2 linked regions of the Oryzias latipes genome follow. The protein of the gene in region 1 binds, or shares a complex with, the protein of each later gene. Links are inferred from orthologs where the notes say so. Each region holds a gene or a part of one and is shown on either strand. Other genes may lie near its edges.

The links.
Region 2: the proteins of slc9a3 (region 1) and chp1 are in contact, whole or in part, in a cryo-EM structure (PDB 7X2U), measured with the Homo sapiens proteins. The link is inferred for Oryzias latipes from reciprocal best matches to the Homo sapiens genes SLC9A3 and CHP1. Residues at the interface, in NP_004165.2 of Homo sapiens: Tyr396, Arg397, Met398, Gln400, Glu402, Arg474, Leu475, Asn476, Glu477, Leu479, His480, Gly481, Arg482, Ala483, Phe484, Asp485, His486, Ile487, Leu488, Ser489, Ala490, Ile491, Glu492, Asp493, Ile494, Ser495, Gly496, Gln497, Asn501, Arg504; in NP_009167.1 of Homo sapiens: Arg30, Leu31, Arg34, Leu38, Lys40, Glu49, Phe51, Gln52, Arg53, Ile54, Glu56, Leu57, Ala58, Ile59, Asn60, Pro61, Leu62, Asp64, Ile66, Phe70, Phe83, Leu87, Phe90, Leu115, Phe117, Ala118, Leu121, Tyr122, Leu135, Leu139.

The regions. Positions count from the first base shown.
Region 1 is NC_019869.2:19,312,197-19,322,087, reverse strand, and holds the start of slc9a3 (sodium/hydrogen exchanger 3), read left to right. Parts: upstream 1-4,579; 5' UTR 4,580-4,746; coding exon 4,747-4,990; intron 4,991-9,891. UniProt on the Homo sapiens protein: Plasma membrane Na(+)/H(+) antiporter. Exchanges intracellular H(+) ions for extracellular Na(+) in 1:1 stoichiometry, playing a key role in salt and fluid absorption and pH homeostasis.
Region 2 is NC_019880.2:1,741,591-1,751,417, reverse strand, and holds the end of chp1 (calcineurin B homologous protein 1), read right to left. Parts: intron 9,402-9,827; coding exon 9,329-9,401; intron 7,634-9,328; coding exon 7,553-7,633; intron 6,864-7,552; coding exon 6,736-6,863; intron 6,659-6,735; coding exon 6,597-6,658; intron 6,146-6,596; coding exon 6,023-6,145; intron 4,772-6,022; coding exon 4,718-4,771; 3' UTR 3,913-4,717; downstream 1-3,912. UniProt on the Homo sapiens protein: Calcium-binding protein involved in different processes such as regulation of vesicular trafficking, plasma membrane Na(+)/H(+) exchanger and gene transcription. Involved in the constitutive exocytic membrane traffic.

The sequences.
Region 1 (9,891 bases):
ACCAGAGAAACCAGAAGGCGCCGTCTGCCCTGTCCTCCTATTGGCAGGGGTGTCAGTATAAAACCCAAATACCCCAGCCAAGGGTGAGAAAACACTCGTAAACAGTCTATTCAATTCAATTCAATTCAATTTTATTTGTATAGCCCAAAATCACAACAACAGTCGTCTCGATGGGCTTCGAAGTAAAACATGAACTTAAAAGGATCACGAATACAAAGAGTTCAATAGGAAAATACTAAAATGAACTAACAAACTGACTAAGCTATACTGGCATCCCTGCCCTTAGACCCCCCTTCACGGTAAGGAAAAACTCCCAAAAAAACCGGATTCCGGAAAAAACGAAGAAACCTCAGGGGTGCCCACATGAAGGAGGGATCCTCCCCCAGGACAGACAGGCGATTTACCAGAACTCTTAGAGAAGAATTAACTTATCTAAATCTACAACTACATATATATATATATATATATATATATATATATATATATATATATATATATATATATATAAAAGTCCAGCAGACGATCTTCAGCCGTGGTTGTGGGGACAGTCAAGGGCGCGAGTCGAGCCGGAGACAGGAACCACAGCCAGGTGTAGGAGCAGGAGCAGAGACGAGGTACACGGCCAGGTACAGAGCAGAGACGAGCCAGAGATGAGCCAGAGGCAGGATCCACAGCCAGGTGTAGGAGCGGGAGCAGAGACGAGGTAGACGGTCAGGAACTGGAGCACAGATGAGCCAACAGGAGTCTGGAAGCACTCCCACTCCCCAGGAGGGGAGAGGAAAAGAGGGACAATACATGAATCGCACTGTACCAAACAGAGGCATGGAGAACTAAATGATAAATTATGATCAAGAATAGAGGAGAGGAAGCGTAGAAGTAGAAAAGAAAAGAGGACAGAACCCCGGAGCACCATAGTTACCCCAGCTTCAACTTCTAGCAGCCTTTTAAAGGAAAAAGTTATTAAGTTTAATTTAAACAAATTAACATTAAGTTAAATAATCTCTAAATACTAACTAGTCTGACAATAAGCCTGTCCAAAGAGGAATGTTTTAAGTCTAGCTTTGAATGTACAAACTGAGTCGGCCTCTCTTACATGAGCCTAATAAAATAAATGGTAAAATATAAAAAGTATACAAGTAAAATTCTAGATTAAACATATATGTATATGATAAAGTGTCATAAAATACAAGACTAAAAATTCTAGATTAAGCAAATAAAATGATAAAATGATGTGATAAAACATCATAAAACATAAAAAGATTGAAGAATAAATATTTATGATAAAATATAATAAAATATGATATTTGATATATGATATAAATGTATTCATCAGGCAAGTAACTTGAAGAAAATGATTTTAGCATCTAAGTTTCTGGTAGTCTTTCAGCATATTCAGTTTTAGCTGTCAGCATTCATGTTTGTTCTCTGTAGGAAAGGCAGTTTTTCTAGTTTATCCTCACATAACCTTTCTTGGCATCTCTGCAAACCTAAAAAGTGTCATACCAAAAACAAAAGATTCATGAATTGTGTTTTTATATAGAAAAGGCAAAGAACCTGAATCCTTTTGTAGCTTCCATGGAAGAAAGACCCCCCGCTCATTGGAGGTGACCTTACACATCACCGTGAGGATGACACGGCTCGGCAGCTGATTCACTGTCAACATGACAGCTCAAGTGCTTTGATGGTGTCAAAGGAGACAAAATGATTCAGCAATCTAAAACCAGGAATCGTGCTGTCTTTAGACAAAGGGCCTCACCATTGAGAATCTGAAAAAAATTCATGCTTGTTTGTTTAAACTTTGATAACTTTCTGAGTTTCTTAATGCTGAAGCTTTACTTCATTGTTGTTTGAACAAAAGAATGACTTCTATTTGAATGTGCAGATCTGGCCTTTTTTTTAAATTAATTTAACACAAAATACCTTTTGGATTCTTCAATGATGAATTTCAGAAAGAAAATCTGTATCTTTTTATTATCATATATTTTATTAAAATTCTGGTGTCTTTGTCTTGAGATTTTCATGGCGAGTTGAGTGGGGACCTTGCGGATCACTGACGGAGCAAGGCTGGAGGTCGTGGCGTGGCTGGAGGTCTTGATGTTGTGGTGGCTTGAGGGATCTTGACGAGAGTTGGACCCAGGCAGGCACTTGGTGGATGTTGCTTGTCCTAGAGACAGGAAGGGTAACTTGAGTAACGGGTTCAGAGACAACGAGAGTTTCATGAACCAAACGAGGAACACATGAGACCAGGTACTTCACCATAGTTGGCAACAAACTGGCGATGACTACTAGACTAGGCCATCTGATATACTGCGGGGTTGATGACGGAAGTGCCGGCAGCTGGGTCCAATCAGTGGAAACAAAGGAAGGGGGGAGAGGACTCCCGGGGTTACCATGACAGTTGGTATACTTTTTATGTTTTATGACTCAACAATGTTTTAATTTGCTTTTATGCTTTTTATTCTTTTACGTTTTATGATTGTGCAATGTTTTGTTTTCCCTGTCTACTGCACTTTGGGCCTCCTTGGCTGGTGGTGGACGGTGTTTTATAAATAAATAAATAAATGATGATGATGATGATGATGATATCTCGTCCATCCATTTACCGAAACAGCTGAAACCCCTTCGGGATCACAGGACTGCTATCCCAGCCACTGGTTGGCGAAGATGGGGAACACCCTGGACAGGTCACCAATGTTCACAGGGCCAGAAAGAAAAGGAAGAAGAAGATGAGCAGAAACTAGAAATGATCAAACTACAGGAAATTCTAAACCAAATAATCATGTTTAATCTGCACATTTTTAGGCTAAAAACTAAATTTCTAGTGATGCACTTTGCCCTAACCTAATTATGTAAAAATTGTTTTCTATTTAAAAGAAATTAAATATATTTATTCAGACTTACATGATGATTTTCCAGCTGGAAGGAAAAGCCTGGATTACAAAAGGTCCCAGGACAGAACGTGATCATTGAAACTCAGGGTCATTCTTTGGTTTCTGTCACCTAAACACAACAGAGGGGATGAAGGCTCAACAGCGCGCTGATGGATGCAGGTGCTGGTTTCCAATAAAGCAGACTAATGGGGCAAATCATTTTCCGTACTCGTTTCTTTCATCTTTCACCCGATGTCTCTGGGATTTGCCTCATCACTTGCAACATTTGTCCTTCCAGAAATGAATCACTTCAAGCAGAAACGTTGGGCTTGTCGTTCATAAGATTAGACTGAAGTAAAAATATAATGTTTGAAACTGAGAAATAAGGAGTTAAAGGAAATAATCTTTTTCTTTGGAAGACGCTGTTAGAGGTTGGATCAATAAAGTTTTATTGGGTCACCTGACATGACCCTGTTTAATCAACCCTATCTATTGAACAAGATGATAGGGTGAAAAATGAATTATTTCAAAATAATTTCTTGGTTTCATATTTGAGACAAAAATCTGCAATTAATTTTAAAAACTGTGAAATTATGTTACAGATTCAAACTCTTAATCCACACGTCACAAAGATTACTTGAAGTTAAAAGATGCTGGAATATGAAAAGAATAAGCAAAATCAAAAGATCTGTGTCGTCATTTACATCCGGATTCACGATTTGAATAAAGTAATACACATAAATGCCATTTTAAGCTTTAATTTTCTTTTATATGTCCTCCACCATCAGAAAAATACCACAAGAACACAGTTTTCATTGAAGTGGGTCTCTTTCATTGGCCGAACCATTGGTGCCTGTTTAAAGTGGATCCTCAGTGATTTTTTTTCTTTTTAAATTAAGGATGTAAATTTTAATGTTATCTTCTCAGCTCATATGAAACAGAGATTCTTTTATACCCTAACCCTTGTGCTATCTTAGGCACTCTAACACTGGGAGTGGGGTCATCTAGACCCCAAAATCTTTTTTCTTCAATGATTTGTGATCTTCACTGGTGTCCATGGATAACACGAAATCCTCTTCTCCTTTATCCACCTTTGTCATGGTAGGGAGAACACGTCAATGTGAGGATTGGGTCATCTGGACCCCATAGGATAGCACAAGGGTTAAAGGACATTTGAGGCAAGTTGGTTCTTAGGTGTTGGACTCAAGTCTGACCTGCTCAGAAAAGCCTGTGTTTGTTTTGGCATTGATTCCAGAGCAAGAACTTCTTCATATAGTGTCAAGAATTTTATAAAGCAATTAGCACTTTGTTTTTGCTGCCGTCATCTCTGCTGGTTTTCTCATCAGTGACCACGTTTTTAAACATATGCTTAATTGGTAATTGGTGGAGTCACCTGCTCTGAGAAATTTCTCAGCCAGAAACCGTGAGTAAATAGCAAAAAGTGGCGTGTAAAGAGTGTATTAGGACACTTCACACTCAAACACAGTTGACACAAGAACTGCAGTGTTGTGGAAATAACTGGGTTCTTCTATATCATTTAATTGCGTCTCACTGGAAGGTCAGACGGTGCTGGAAATACAGTCACTGAGCATCAAGTCCCTCTTTGAGGAAAGTGGCTAAACAAGCTGGTCAGGAATAGAGTGGGAGGAGCCAGAGCAGCATCAGAATGGGTTGAGCCTCACCTACAGTAAAACCTGCATCCCTGACAGGCAGAGCAGAACAACCTGACAACTTCTAGTTTGTTGAAGATGTAGATGACTGAAGAAACGGATTATGATCGAGATGTGGAAAGTAGTGGGAGCTGCTGTCTGACCTCCATATGGTTAAACTAACAACTTCCTGAGTTTGTGGGGACTTTTTTAAGCATTTTGAGACCATGGGGGGGAAACGGGGATTTGTGTTTTTTGTCTGCCTGTTGGTGGTCATGTCCAGAAGTCTGAGTTCAGCCAATGAGGCCCCGGTCCATGACACCGCACAGAGCCCCAGTAATGCAACATCCAGCACTGGACACGAAACACCGGTCATCACCACGCTACCCATTGTATCCTGGAAGTGGTCCCACGTCTCCCAGCCATACCTGGTGGCGCTGTGGATCCTGGTCTGTTGGCTTTGCAAACTGGGTGAGTCTCAATTTCTGATGGGTCTTGACCTTTAGGGATCCTGAAGGCATCAGCACCTCCTAAATGACAGATAATTTTTGTGGCTTTTTTGAAGCAGCAGGTAACTGATTTAGTGATTTATTTTATTTTTCTTATTTAAAAAAAGCTTGTACAATTGCAGAAACTATCCAAGCAGCAGACAATTCAGACTTTCATTAGAAAGGGTAGGAACTGAGAGTCTTTATCTGAAGTGGGAAGACGTATTTCCCTTCTGGTTTCATTTGAAGGCTTCAGAGGTTTTTACATGAGAACTGTTCTGCGCTGTCTCTCAAATTAAAAGAGAAAATGGCAGCAACCCAGATCAAAAGTTGAATTTTTTGCTTGCTAAAAATGTTCAAAATTTGATTGATTCATTCAGACGCACTATAAGGGTAGTCTTAAAAAATCTTTTGAGGACATCAGGGTTTGCTCTGAAGTGGTGTATGTTCTCCACTGACCTGTATTCACGCTGACATAGTCTGCAGATGGGAAAAAACTAGACGAGCAAAGAGTGTAGGATTACAGACTGAGCTAGAAAGCAAAAATCTTGGAGCTCAAGTGAATGCATATTAGATTTCGAGGAGTGTTCTCCACGATTATTTTCATATAAAGGTCATTCTAAATCCAGAGATTTTCTTACTAAAACTTTAATGAGATCTTTCTCCTCAAGCAACAGTTCAAGTGTTATCAAATTCTTAAAAATAAAAAAATGATATATATATATATATATATATATAATGTACTAAATTTTAGAATATATGTAATATGTTCCTAAAATATGTATGTCTTAAAACCCATTTAAAGAAATGATCTATTAACTTATTTTAAATGTCAAAAAAATTCTATGATAGAATATTTTTAAAGGTAAAACTTTGAACTAAAACTAGTTAGATTAATTTGTGACAAAGACTAAAAATATACTTTACAACAACAACCTTTTTTATTACTATAAAATAATTTCATAAAAGCATAACAGTTGTTATTTTTATAGTTTCGTGTGAGTGAACCGTACCTGCAGCAGACAACAAAGCAACATAATCATTTTATTCTGCATAACTCTGGTGAAACATTTAGAAATGTTACAAACAATCAAAGCTGAAAGCAGTGATGAGAAAAGTGACATCCACAAACCCGATTAAAACAACAATACATCTCAGGGCCAACATCTCTCCCACCCACCTGTCGGAACCGACCCAGCTTCAGGAGTTCAGCAAATTTGAAGGGTTTTGAAAGACTGCCTGAAACAAGGGGTTAAACTAATGCCCCAAATACAAACAAAAGCCAGGTCAGGTGATGGATTCAGATGATGCAGGTCAGAAAAGTCCAGTCAGGTGAACTTGCCTGTAAGGAATGGCCAAGCAAGAATATGGATCCTCCTTCCAGGAGTAAACAAAGTAGGTTAATGGGGTGACACTCAAAGGTCCCCCCCCCCCACACACACACACCTCCTGCTGGTCAGATCAGTCAGGTGGGGTTTGTGAAGAGTTGATGTTAAGAGGTAAACTTAGCAGGGAGTGATCAACGACTCATCCTCTGGTGTTACTGGGGCAGCTCCTTTAAGCTAAGAAGAGGTTCAGAAGAAAAGAACCCGAACCAGCTGTTGTTGGCATCTTAAACAGGGTGTGATGGATAAAGGAAAAAAAAAGCGGAACTCAAATCCAACTGAACAGCAGAAACGCTCTTCAAGAGAGTTTTTTGACTGGGATGTTCTCTTCCTGTCTTCTAAATCAGTGTTTTTCAATCTTTTTGGGTCAAGGTAAACTTTTTCCTTGATAAAAATCACATGGTGCACCACCAACTAAAAATACAACAAAATAAAAGGAAGCTCTGAAGGGTCTGGAATAAGAATTAAATAAACACAAAGAAAACGATGATCCGTTATGCTTAATTCTGCTCAATGTGAAACCTGGGCACGTTTGGATGAACATAGAGGCGATATCCCTGCAATGATAAATGTTTTCCCCCAAATTCTTTAAAATTAGACAATTTCTCATGCCACACCTGACGATCTATTGGTTGAAAAATCCAGTTCTAAATACTCGACAAAATTCACAGACTTTCCTTTTCAGATTTTGTTTTTGTCTTTGTTTTCCTGTGATTCTAAAAGAAAATTGAAAGTCCTGAGGACAGAATTTGCTTTGAACATGACTCTAAGGTCTGGAGGGCAAATATGAAGCTCCTCCCCTTTAGTCCTCAGTTTAGCCCGAAGATGGTGAAGCATTCTAAATGTTATGGGGTGACACCAACAAGGGACATGAAAACTTGGGTCACAGCCGAACATTAAAGGACAATCTGACCTCCCCGAGTATCAGCCCAGCTGCCAAACTTGTGCTGCTGTCTTTACAAAACACTGGCAGTGGCCATTCCTGTATACACAACAGGTGTAAATGAGTCACAGCCATGTGGACAATGTAAATGAAGGGGCGTGCACGACATTGACATTTACTGGCATAAATATGGGACCACGCTCCACGTGATACAGGTGTTCCGCTCGGTTCCTTCTTCAGTCGTCCTGCAGAACCCCGGTCCGGGTCAGGGCAGCTTCATTTGGATGAGAATCTAGAATCGGCTAGGTAGCCTGGTTGGTAAGGTAGAGGGCTGTCATGCAGGAATCCAGGGTTCGATTAAATTGAATAAATAATGGTACTGGAGGCAATTACCATATCAATGGTGAGCAATTAACATCACCCAGTGGGGGCCCTTGGGCAAGACCCTTAATGCTACTGCCTCCCAAGCACGGTTCAGCTGCAGCTCACCGCTGCCCCAGGGGATGGATCAAATGCGGAGAAGAATTTCCGATTGTGGGATGAATAAAGTATCAATATTATTATTATTATTAATAATCTGACAGGTCACTAGAAAAAGTTGCAATTCTGTTTTCTGTTCAAATTCAAACTATTTTACTATTTTTAGAGGTGTGGAAATATGTAAAAATAAAAAAAATTGACATACCGGTATGTTTAAAGAAATCCAAAACCAAATTCTTTTTATTCTCATTGATGACCTGAAATACCTGGATTTTTACAGCAATTGACACTTTGAGCCACTAGATGTCATCGTTTGAGCCGTTCAGTGAACCTGCAGGGTCTGGTTTGAATTATGAAATATTTTGTAGTGTAATAAGTAAACCTTGATGTTCTGTAAAAACTTCCTGATGCAGCAGTTTCCCACTAAAGTGCATTCAAACAAATAATCTAAAGATTGATTTAGAAGTGAAAAGCAAACATTAAAATTACTATTAATAAAATTGCTACTTGTGCAGATAAGGTTGGGAACATTTATTTCAGCTTAAGAGTAAAAACAAGATTTTAGTGCCATTCTGGGATGAATCAGAAACCTTTTTAGGCGTTTTAAAGACACACACTGGTCTGCATTCATAGTTGACTTCATCTTCTATTGAGTGAATTACTATTTAGGCTGTCATTTACTTAAGTTATTGTGAACATTTAGAACTCTCATCCAGAATCGGTCTGGGTAGACCTGAAGGAAGAAGTTTGAACGCGATATTGTAGCTAAGAAGAACAGGAAATATCAAATTCTGCCATAATTGGGGGGGAAAACAAAACCTGCAAGCTTCAGATTAGACAAAGAGGAGTTGTCATCCAAAGAAAAGTGAAGGAAGATTTATTTTTAAGTTTGAAAAAAAATATCTTTATGGGTCAAATTATTTAAAAAAATATAAATATTTTAAGAACTATAGCAGAAAATTTGAATTCTGGATCAGAATAGGAGTAAAGCTTGGAAAAAAAGGTACATACATGAACTTTTCCTTTTAACTAACTAAGAAAGAAACAAGATTTCATTTTTAGTTTTTCCCGCAAACATATCTTTGATGACTGTTGTGAAGACAAAATAAAAAGTAATAAATAAAATTAGCTGTTATCTGCAGATTTGTAGTTTAATGACTTGCAGTGACTTTGATCCATATTATTCCAAATGGAATTGAAACAAAGAATATTCTGAAAATAAAGATTGTTGTATTTAAAAAAAATACTTTAATAAAACCTTTTAATGGAAAGCAGATTTAACACTGACTTTTTTTTTCTGATTTACCGTATTTGTTGACAATTGAGTTATAAATTACACACTTTTTATTAGTTTAAAAAACAAAGACCAGGTTAAAAATAACAGTCTGAACCTCCACCCAATAAAATGAAATCTGAGCACTAACATTCAGAAACTGTCCTTTTACCATCCTGAACTGAGAGATGCCTCTTTGTGGTATTTTACACAAAGGAATGTCAGATCCTGCAAGGATGCCAAAGAAAATGACGAAAGATTAATAAAAGAAAGTCCTTCAGGGAATTTAATTTAAGTATTCTTCTCTTTTCACAAAGATCTCCTTTATTCTGGTTCTGGCAGAAGGAAATAAAGTTAAAAAAATATCAAAGGTTCCGGATACCTCTAGGAACAAAAATTGATTTACAAGGCTAATGACTTAGTATAAGATAAGCATAACCTCATTTCCTTAATCATTTGACCTAAAGCAAATTTGAGGTAAAAAAAAAAAACTCAGGTAAAAGCTAAGGTGTGAACCTACTGGTTCCCATCTATTTTGTCGTTTGTGCCTGAAGTCACAGATGACACGTTTCACTGAGCACAGTTTCATTTTTCTGATCTGCGTACTAACAAGAACAGCAGCTCTGCTGAACCTCTTTGTTCACAGAGAAGTCGACCTCCAGCACAGAGCTGCTGACGTCATCAAGCAACTCACACCTTCTGAGCGGGATTCATTAGGTCAACCGTTATGAGAATGGTTGATTTACAGTTTCAGAAGGACGTGAACTTTGTCAGGCTCAGGGTCGGCTCACTTTCCAGCTTTATTAGAGCACACATGAGCTGATACTCCAACCACTGACAGATTAAAGTTTCTGCATGGGATC
Region 2 (9,827 bases), on another chromosome or scaffold:
CACTCCGACCAAAATTGTGTTTTTAAAATGTTCTTGTAGCATTTTTCTCACAATGGAGATAAAGAACATTAAAATAGGGGGGAAACTGCATGTATGAGCATTTATTCAAATAATTGAGAATCAGGAGCAGATGCTAAATGGCTGTAAAAGACGTAGAAAATATTCTAGGCGGGTCCTAAGCTCCTATGCAATGGAGAAAGGGAAGAGGGGCGGGGTTGTTCCACACCAACAGTCCTGCCAAAACCCAAGGGGCAAACTTCTAATGAACTCCTGCTGCTCTGCATCCAAGAAAACGATTGATATCTATTGTGGCTAAAAACAGCATCGTTATTATGATCAGGTGACCGGAGTGGGACGTTAACCAACGGGACGTCCTTCACTACAGGAGATAGAAGTGAAAAGAACAGCGACACACACCAGTCCAGTTGGCACCATGCTGCATTTTATTGCTGAATGTCCGTTTCTTTTTTTTATTCTCATATTTAGAGTGAATACAAAACCAGACAAGAGGCTCACACATAACAAGCATGCCCACTTCCTCCCTCTGGAGTGCATAGTTTCCACACTTGATCACCAAAACCACATCCTGGTCACAGCTTGATCTGTGCTTCTACTTTTTGGTGAGTCCCCCCCTCATCGTGACCAGCGGCGCGTGACCACGGGCTGCAGCTACGTCAGTGTGAGTCCACGGGACAGCAGGTCTGAGCATCGCCTTATCCTAACATTCACATTACAGAGTTGGTTTATTGCATGCAATACAAATCATTCATTAATCTGCTAATCATGCATATTCTTAAACCCATATAGTCATGTGACAAGACGCCTGCGTGGGCGTTAAACTAGGAGTTCCAGAAACGGCGTGACCCAGTCTCTGGGACGGAGTCGTTAGGCGGCGGCGGTGTGAGACCGCTCCGGGACAAAAGAGTCCTGCACGGGTTCTGAAAGTCTGCTTGGCTGGAGGGACGGGCTCCAACATGCTACAAAACGTCAAGGTTAAAGCATCTTCGTGTTCCTGGCGCTTCATGGACGCGTTCGTTTAAAGCCCAAACACTTAAAGCAACGAGACGGGTAAAGAAACGGGAGATTTATCGGGACGACGCGTTAAAAATAAGGGAGTTCTTGATGGGATCTTACACAATCCTGTAAATACAAAGAGCCTGGCGCTAAATCATGCATTATTGGAGGTTATTGCTTCTAAAACTCTAATAAAATACAATTATAAGGACTAAAATCAGTCCTAGAACCACGAGGTCGTATGTACAAAGCAGTCATCTCAGTCAGAAAGCTCTGGCCCCAATCGGACCAACAGCTTCTCATGGATTTCTTTAAGCCAGATTTGGTCAAACGTCCTGAAAGATACGGGCGGAGAGACGCTGCACTGCAGTCGACCTGCAGCTGCTTTGTTTTCTCGGACTCGCGTTTGCTCAGAAACCCGATTGGGCTAAGACTCTTCATGAAGCAAGCGTCACTACTGGTCATGCATGGCTACGATAAATATTGGCACCACTGCTAAAGAAGCTAATGCACATGAGTCTATACATCTCTTAATGGAAGACATTGGTGATTTTGTTGCTTTCAAACAACTTGTCACTTGTTTATACAATATACATGTTGGTCAACATGACAGTTTAGATCAAATATTGCACAGATCCCGGTAAAGAGAGATTTTCTTCTTTTGTTTTATTTCTTATGATTGATGACCGTCAGTCCTAAAGAAATGAAAACGGGCAGACTGGCCCCCTCAGCGCGCTCAGGACGTCGTGTGTTTGGAGGGAAAGACTGTAAACTGCATCAGAGACGATGGATGCTGCCGCCTAATCCGGCTCTACGCATGCAGACAATGATGAGGAAAGTGGCGGATCTTCTCTGAACTTGATCAAATCGAAGCTCCGCCGGACTTCCTGGATGCTGCTGGACCGGCTGTGGCTGTGAGGTAGCACAAACCCACAAAGGAAAGGAAGAAGCAGTGACTCGATCGCATCACAGAACTCCATCTTTGCTACAGTTTCTCGTGTCTAAACTTTATTTACAAAAATAAGAAGGAACGGATGTGGAGCTTCCCGTCCGACTGCTTGGATCTGATGGGTTTCCTTTTTCATTTTATAAGAAAAAGGCAACAAAACAAAAGAGAAACGGTGAATGTGTGTTGAATCTTTAGCCTGATCTCACGCCATCTCCTAACATTTACCGCCGCTCTTTGCGGATGGGGCTGAAGACCTGGGTCCGAACGAGAGGCGATGGCGTGGAGGAGCCATCACCAGTGGCGAGGAGAGCCCACGTAGAGGAGGAGGTCATCCAGACAGCTGCTGGGGTCCTGTGGGCTCCTCTGTGAGGGGTGGAGGACACGGCGGTGGTGCTGGGTCTGTTCTGAAGGCACACATGTCTCCGGTTCAGCTTCACCTCTCCGCCGCCTGGAGTTTATGGTTCAAAAGCAGGAGTTCAGTTCAACTAAAAACACCTCAGAAGAAGAAATTATCACTCAAACATTTTAATGAAAACCTGATCCTCTTTTGACAAATGTTTTATTTTTCCTATGCCTTTAAGTCCCACTCCGACCATCTTTTGATCTATTTTCTTTTTTTCTCATTAAGATGATGCCTTTTTTAGGCAATATGTTCTTGGACAAAGTTTCTGCAGAGCAGCAGGAGTTCATTAGAAATTCACCTCTGAGGTGTGGGAGGGGTAAGCCTGCCCCTGCTTCCCGACATCCTTCCCTTTACACTGCTAGCTTACAGCCCCTCAAGCTAACATTAGCACCGCAACAACGATGGAGATCCAGACCTATCTGATCTGATCCAGATTCCAGTTCAGACGAGGAAAACAAAAAAAACATTTTGTCTGCAGGGGGATTAAAAAGGAGCCGAGGAGGGAGGTTGTGGCCCCGCCCACCGTATTTTCTACGTCACAAATATATGTTTAAACAGCATTTTTTCCGTCTGCTCCTGATTCACAACAATCGAAATAAAGAAAATACTAAGAACTGCCATTTTTGAGCTTCAAACAGCGATATAAATAACTTGCATCAAAAAAATTCTACAAAAACATTTTCAAACACAAATAATACGATATTTATAGGAGTGGATCTTAAAATCATAAATGTAATAATTAAATTATCCGCATTTTTTACTTTTAAAAGCTCAAGCGTTTCTACATTGATTCCATTTGAATAGACTGCAAAAGCTTAATTATTTGTATTTTTGCTATTTCAGCATCACCTTTTATACAAAAAAAACATAATTAAAGTATAATTTAGACATAAAAGACGGTAAAGTGTTCAAAAATGGGCTACAAAAACAGACCCAATGGGCAGAAACGGCGAAGCTGCGGGGAAAGGCGGGTTAAGGTCGAGTGAAAGGCGGGAAGCACGAGCCTCTGACCTTGGATGAGTCGATGATCCGATGAGACGCAGACGTTTGGTCCGAGCTCCGAGCCTCTCGCGGGGGTAAACAAAGCCGGGCTGCCTCCTCTGTGGCGCCAGGCCGGGGTGGGAGGAAACCGGGGTTGACGGGATTATTCGGAGGCAGAGCTGCGCCGCCGAGGAACCTCCGTAAAAAAATAAAAAATAAAACTCACTGAACCTCCTTCTCTCCCCCAAGTTCACGCCAAAGACGGGGGGGTGGGGGGAGAAGGAGGTCCCGCTCCCTCCGCTCTACGCCATCTTTGCTCCGCGGCTACGAGCCAACAGGAGGACCCTGGGATTGGAGCGGGAAGCTGTCCATCAAATGTAAGCCCCGCCCCGGAAGTAAATCAACTTCCTCCCATCCGTCCTCTTGAGTTATTGCAGCACAATTATGCTAAAATAATAACCTTTATAATTTTAGTTCATTGTTTAGCTTCGATTTAACCAACAGATTACGCATCTTTTCTACATATTTGTGCACATGAAATATTGTTAAAAACAACACAACCAGATGAATGGCACCTTGTTTATTCAAATTGATTCAGAAATCACTTTAATATCAACATACAATACAAATAACAGCTGATTTTGGTTTAATAACGCTTTCATCCTCCAGAGGATTTGGCTGACATTATAGATTACATCGTATTTAAAGTTCGAATGCCACGTGACACAAAGCAGATCTGGAGCAGATAAGATGGGAAATAAATAAAATAGTGTTTTTTCCTCATTTGCACTTGAAACAGGAAAAAGGAAAACCGTTTTATGCATCAGATCCAGCAGTTACACAGCGGGAAAACGCGTTAAATCCTTCTGACATGAAGTCCAGCGGCTGTCAGGCGTGAATTCAAGACTCCTATGCTCATACTGACGTCAGCGGGTTCGGCTTTGGTTAACCAACAACAACCGGAATAAATCACTTATTGTTTTACATGAGAACAAACTAGAGCCGACATTTTACAGAATCAAAGACACTCCAGCGGCTGGCTTTGATTTGGAAATGGTGCTGCTGTCTGAACTGCTGCATACAAATACAGAAGCGTGTGAAACGTGAGCAGCAGGAGTGAACTGCGTCTGAAAGGTGAAGACGTTCTTGATCTCATGCCCACTGAAAAGCTGTTTCTATGATGCTGCATGGTGGGAAACACACTGACACGTTTCCCTACGTTAGCGAAGCAGTGCAAAGGCGGGAGATTTACTGCGGTAATGGGGGAGCAGTGGCAGCCATCTGAGGCGCTGGATGAAGTCATTTTTCTGGCATCAATGGAGGAAAAAAAAAGTTTGGACTCATTTTAAGAAGTAAAACAAAAGAAAGAGTTAGTGCAGGAACCGGATGCTCATCTTCTGCTCCACGTCCACTTTCTCCAAGACCTGAGGAAACAAAAAAAAACAAGGATGTGAGACCTGCAGGACCGATGCTGGAAGGAATCCCCCAGACCAGGGGTCCCCAAATCCAGGTCATGAGGGCCCTGCCTGATTTGCTGCTGATTACCTGGATCAGGTGTGTTTAGCCAATAAGGAGCTTTAATGGCAGGTTGGTTGGAAAACACGTAGGCCTGGATTTGGGGAACCCTGACCCAGATCGTCCTCAACCAGAAGGACAAGAACTCACCAAACACAGACGACATCCAGACACATTGTTTGTGTCAACACCTCACGGAAACAAAAAGGTCACGGTGTTGGCGGCCCGTTCTGGTAGATTTAATAAAACACTCCCCCTCATGTTTGTCCAAATCTAACGTTAGCATTTTAGCTCAAACTAATATGGGACGAAAAGAGCTGCAGAATTCACTGGGATTTTTACTTTAGCTGTTTTAAAAATGTCGACTTTAAGTTTGATGCCACCTGCTGACATTTGACCTGTTAAACTGTAGAGAAAGTTTAACGAGCCGCCTGGTGGTCACTCGATGAACTGCAGGTTGTTTTCACAGGGAGAGGCAGGTTGCAGTTTCAGGCCAAGTTTATTCTGATTATCTGTTAAAAATTAACATTACGTTAGACATTACCTTTGTGTTTAAACGGCACTGAAAAACAGAGGAGAATTTTAGAAGGGAGATCAGGATCTAAAGCTACAAATGCAAATATATTTTTGAAAACCTCCACAAATTTATGTACGATGGACTATGAGAGGCACCACAACACACAAATATGAGAATAAAGTCATACAGTTATGAGAAAAATGTTAATTACAAGAATGAAATAATAAATTTATGCTTCAAAAATATAACTCGGCAAAGAAAATTCACGTTTTTTCAGAATTAAAATGTTTCATTTTGCTTTAAAGCTTCACTGCACAAGAATTGTACAGAATCTGCCTTAACTTTTTAAAATAAATGTACAACTTTGTTTTTTTGTCTTGTAAAATTGCAACTTAAATGTATAATTTTATTCCCGTAGAATTTTGGCTTTTCCTGATCTTTCGACGTTCCTCATTTCTGTAATTTTTTTGTTAAAACAAGACTTTTTCTTTGTAAAATTACAACGTTTTGAAATATAAATGTACAATTTCCATCTCACAGAATTGTTACTTTTTTTAATGACTTTATTCCCATTTTCCTGTTTCCTGGTGGCCCTGATTCTCCATCGTGTTCACGTTCCTGGAATGTGGGCGGAGCTGCAAACCTTGATGAACTCGGTGAAGGAGATGCATCCGTCTCCGTTGGTGTCCGCCTCCTGGATGGTCCTGTCGGCGATGCTGCCCAGCTGCTCGTCTGAGATGTTCACGCCCACCATCATCCGCAGCACCTGGAGACAGCAAACGGCTGAGGACGACCGCGAGGACACGGCCGCTGTGATCCAAACAAGCGCTGATGATGTGTTCTGCAGAAACACTCATTTGCAGCTTTTCTGCTGGAATGATTCTAAATAACAGAGCGTTTAGTGGAACGGCTCACAAACAACCAGAATCAGGTGACGCTCTGCTGTTTTGATCAAAACAAGGTATTTGTGCGAGTCACGTAACCGCGAGCTCACAGCAATTACAGGTCACCACCGGGGAGGAGCCAGACGGACCGGAGGACGGCGGCATTATCTGCACGAGGCCAAAGTCTGCAGAGCAAACGTTACACAACAGGGCCGGTCCAGCCAGCTGCGCCTGGAGCTGCACATTTAACCCAAACCGCCCCCCCCCCCCCCCCCCCCCCCCCCCCCCTACGTAACAAACCCGGGTGTCTCCGTGGGCTAAAGCGGCTCCCACCTGCAGCAACTCGTCCCGAGAGATTTTGTCATCCCGGTCCAGGTCGTACAGCTGGAAGGCAACTGTGGAGAAAAGCATCAGCACATCAATGCGGTGAAGGTCCAGGGGGTGGGCGTCTGTGAGGGAGGGGCGGACTCACAGTGCAGTTTGTTTGTGCGGCTGTTGAGCGGCTCCGTGTTGGACAGGTTCTTGTTCTTCTCGTTGTCCTCGACCGGCCGGAAGTGAGCCAGGGTCCGCATGAAGCCTCTGAAGTTCACCTGATCCTCTCTGAAAAACCCGTCGGTTCAGCTCAGAAACGGGGCGGGAAACCCGACACCGAGGCACAAACCAGGACAAAAACAAACCAGTCTGAGCCAGAAAACAGAAACCTAAAGCCGACACAAACCCGGGCTGCAGTTAAAACCCACACAAATCATGGAACCCGACCACATCTGCTCTTTTTTTAGCTTTGAAGTCCCACTGCCATCACTTTGACGGATCTTTAAAGTGTTTTAATGAGAAAAACCTTTTCTAGGACGTAGTTTCTGCAGAGCGACGGGAGTTCATTAGAAATTCACCTCCGAGTTGGGCTGGTCTATTTCCCGACATCCTTATGTTTACACTCTCTCCCTCTAGCTTACAGCCCTCACCCCCCCCCCCCCCAAGCTAACATTAGCCATGCAACAAAAATGGCAGCAATGTCAGAGCTATCCAGTCGTCCAGTTCTGATCCAGATTCCAGCTCAGACGTGGAAAACAAAGACGTTCATGGATCTGTTGGTCTGCAGGTGGAGGATCAAAAAGGGGCGGAGCTAGAAGCAGCATATTTGCCAAGTCACAAATACGATCTTTTTCAAACTGCATTTATTTTCCGTTGCATGGATTCACACAGATTTGAAAAAAGAGAGACGAAAAAATTCAATTTAAAGCCTAATTTTCTTAAAGTATGCCCGCCATCGTCACAAAGTCCAGACTCACCCGTCGGGGAAGAAGGCGTTGATGATTCGGTCTCCCAGAGGGTTGATGGCCAGCTCCGGGATCCTCTGGAAATCCTCTCGGCTGCAGACGTCAGAGCAAGGTCACCGTGAAAGACGGCAGGAAATGACATCACACGCACTTCAGAGGAGGTTTTTAAGATGAAGTTACTGTAAAACTGAACTTAACAAGCCTCTCAAATCAGGCGTGACACTTTAGTCTCAAATTAAAGTTCAGCTCCTCAGAGTTAAAACTTTTATAGTGGAATAAAGAGATTTTTATTCTTTCACTTCCAAAGTCACTTATGGGGAGGACTTTTGAGTATTCGAATACTCGGATACTCGCCGTCTATTCCAGACAAAAACAAATATTTGTGATGTTTGAGATCAGGGATTCATGATCTTTAGAAATATTGGAAAGCACGGTAAAAAAATACACTTCAGAAAATGTAATTATCACTCTATAGTTGCAGAATAATGTAAACAAACAGGAAGTAAATATACATTTTCAAAATAAAGTGTTTGTGAAGGTTGTTATTGTCAAAGTAAAACTACGGAGTGTTTTTATTTGAAGTTCGGTTTAGTGAAACAAGTTCTGGAAAGAAAGAAAAAGTGGATCATTTTAATGTAAAAAAATAAAGACTTTTTAATTAAAAATATTTTAATAAGGATCTCAGGATCAACGGCGTGACTCGTGTCACGTCATGTGACGGTCTGCTAGCGTGATGGAGAAGCCGAACCGAAAACGTCTGTTACATGTTCTAAAGTGTTTTTATTTTCTAAAAGGACAGAGAGTTTTTTCTAGTTTTATCTTCTCGTGGATCTACGGGAGCTGCAGACAGCAGGAAAACTGTGGAGAACATTTTCAGGATTTGTTGTTAAAAGATCCGAAACGACGGCGATGTTTAGGTTTGGTCTCCTGCTGAAGTGAAGCAGGAAAATGACGGAGAATCTTTTGCTGAAACCATTTCTTTCTAAATCTTTGTGTTCTGTTGATTTCGGTCCCCTGTTCTAAATAAAAAAGGTATAGATGATGCTAATTATTAGTTTCATTTCATACATCCAGTAAAAGACACATGTGGGAACGAGTCAAAGAGGATATAATAAACAGTAAATATCCTAGTCTGATCCGTGAACCGGATCTCCACGTCGGTACCGACCCACAGTCCTGGTTGTTCAGAGTTCTTTGATGTTTCTGTTCATTCTGTTGCATCAACACGGCCTGAAGACCACAGATGAGAAGAACTGCAGCAACGCTTGTGATGTGTCAACAGCTTCTTAGGACAGTCAGAGTTCCATGAAATGTTTGCTTGTTCTGTCCTTGAATCGCTGACCTGTGGCCTGCAGCCGACCCGGTCTGACCCGGTCTGACCCGGTCTCCTCGCAGCCAACTCAGCTGCTTGTTGCTTAATTATCATCTATGGTTTATCGTTCTGTCACGCGGCCTGAGCCTGACCACAAAGACGTCAGGCTGAGAACCAAACAGAACAATGTTCCAACACTCAGAACGTGGAACGTCTGACCTCGTTTTGACTTCCTGGAGAAGCATTTCATTGAGTCAAAGTCCATTCCTGCCCTTTCCCACAAATCCCTGCTCCACCTGCAGCTACTTTCCTGGATCAGGCACCCCCCCCCCAATAAGAAACTGAGCGGCCGTGTGTGAAATGAAGCAGGACGCCCGCCCCGGAGGTTTGAAGCCACAGGTTAAGCCGAACCGCTGATGCACAGCCATCCCGCCAATGTCTAAGCTGCTTTTCAGGGTGTTTGGGTTGTAGTTTACCTGAGCGTGCCATTCTCCCCTTTGTCCAGGCTGGTGAAGCGGCTGTAGAGTCGAGTGATCTGACTGTGGGAGACTGCAGGGAGGAGGAGGGACGACAGCGTGAATCCAACTTCTAACCCGCATACGGACATTTATCCCTCACCTTCTGGGTTCAGTAAGAAACTGATTTCTGCCTAAGGCTGGAAATCAAACTTTATTTAAACATGAAGCAGATCCTTCAGATGAAGCCTGGGCTCTACTGAAGGTAGCTCTAGGTTAACCCTCTCCATCCCACTGTCCGTTCATGCTTACAACTCTTACTTTGACCTTCATCAGATGGTTTTTCAGTAGCAGTCCAGCTCTGCTGTGGGGTGTTACACCCTAATTCCTCCGTGTTGGCCACTCACGTCAAATCAGAATGCAATTAAACTTTAATGATCCAGCAAAGGGGAACTTATTTTACCATAACTCTATAATATAAAAAAATCATTTTAAAAATCCCACTGAAAATACACAATAA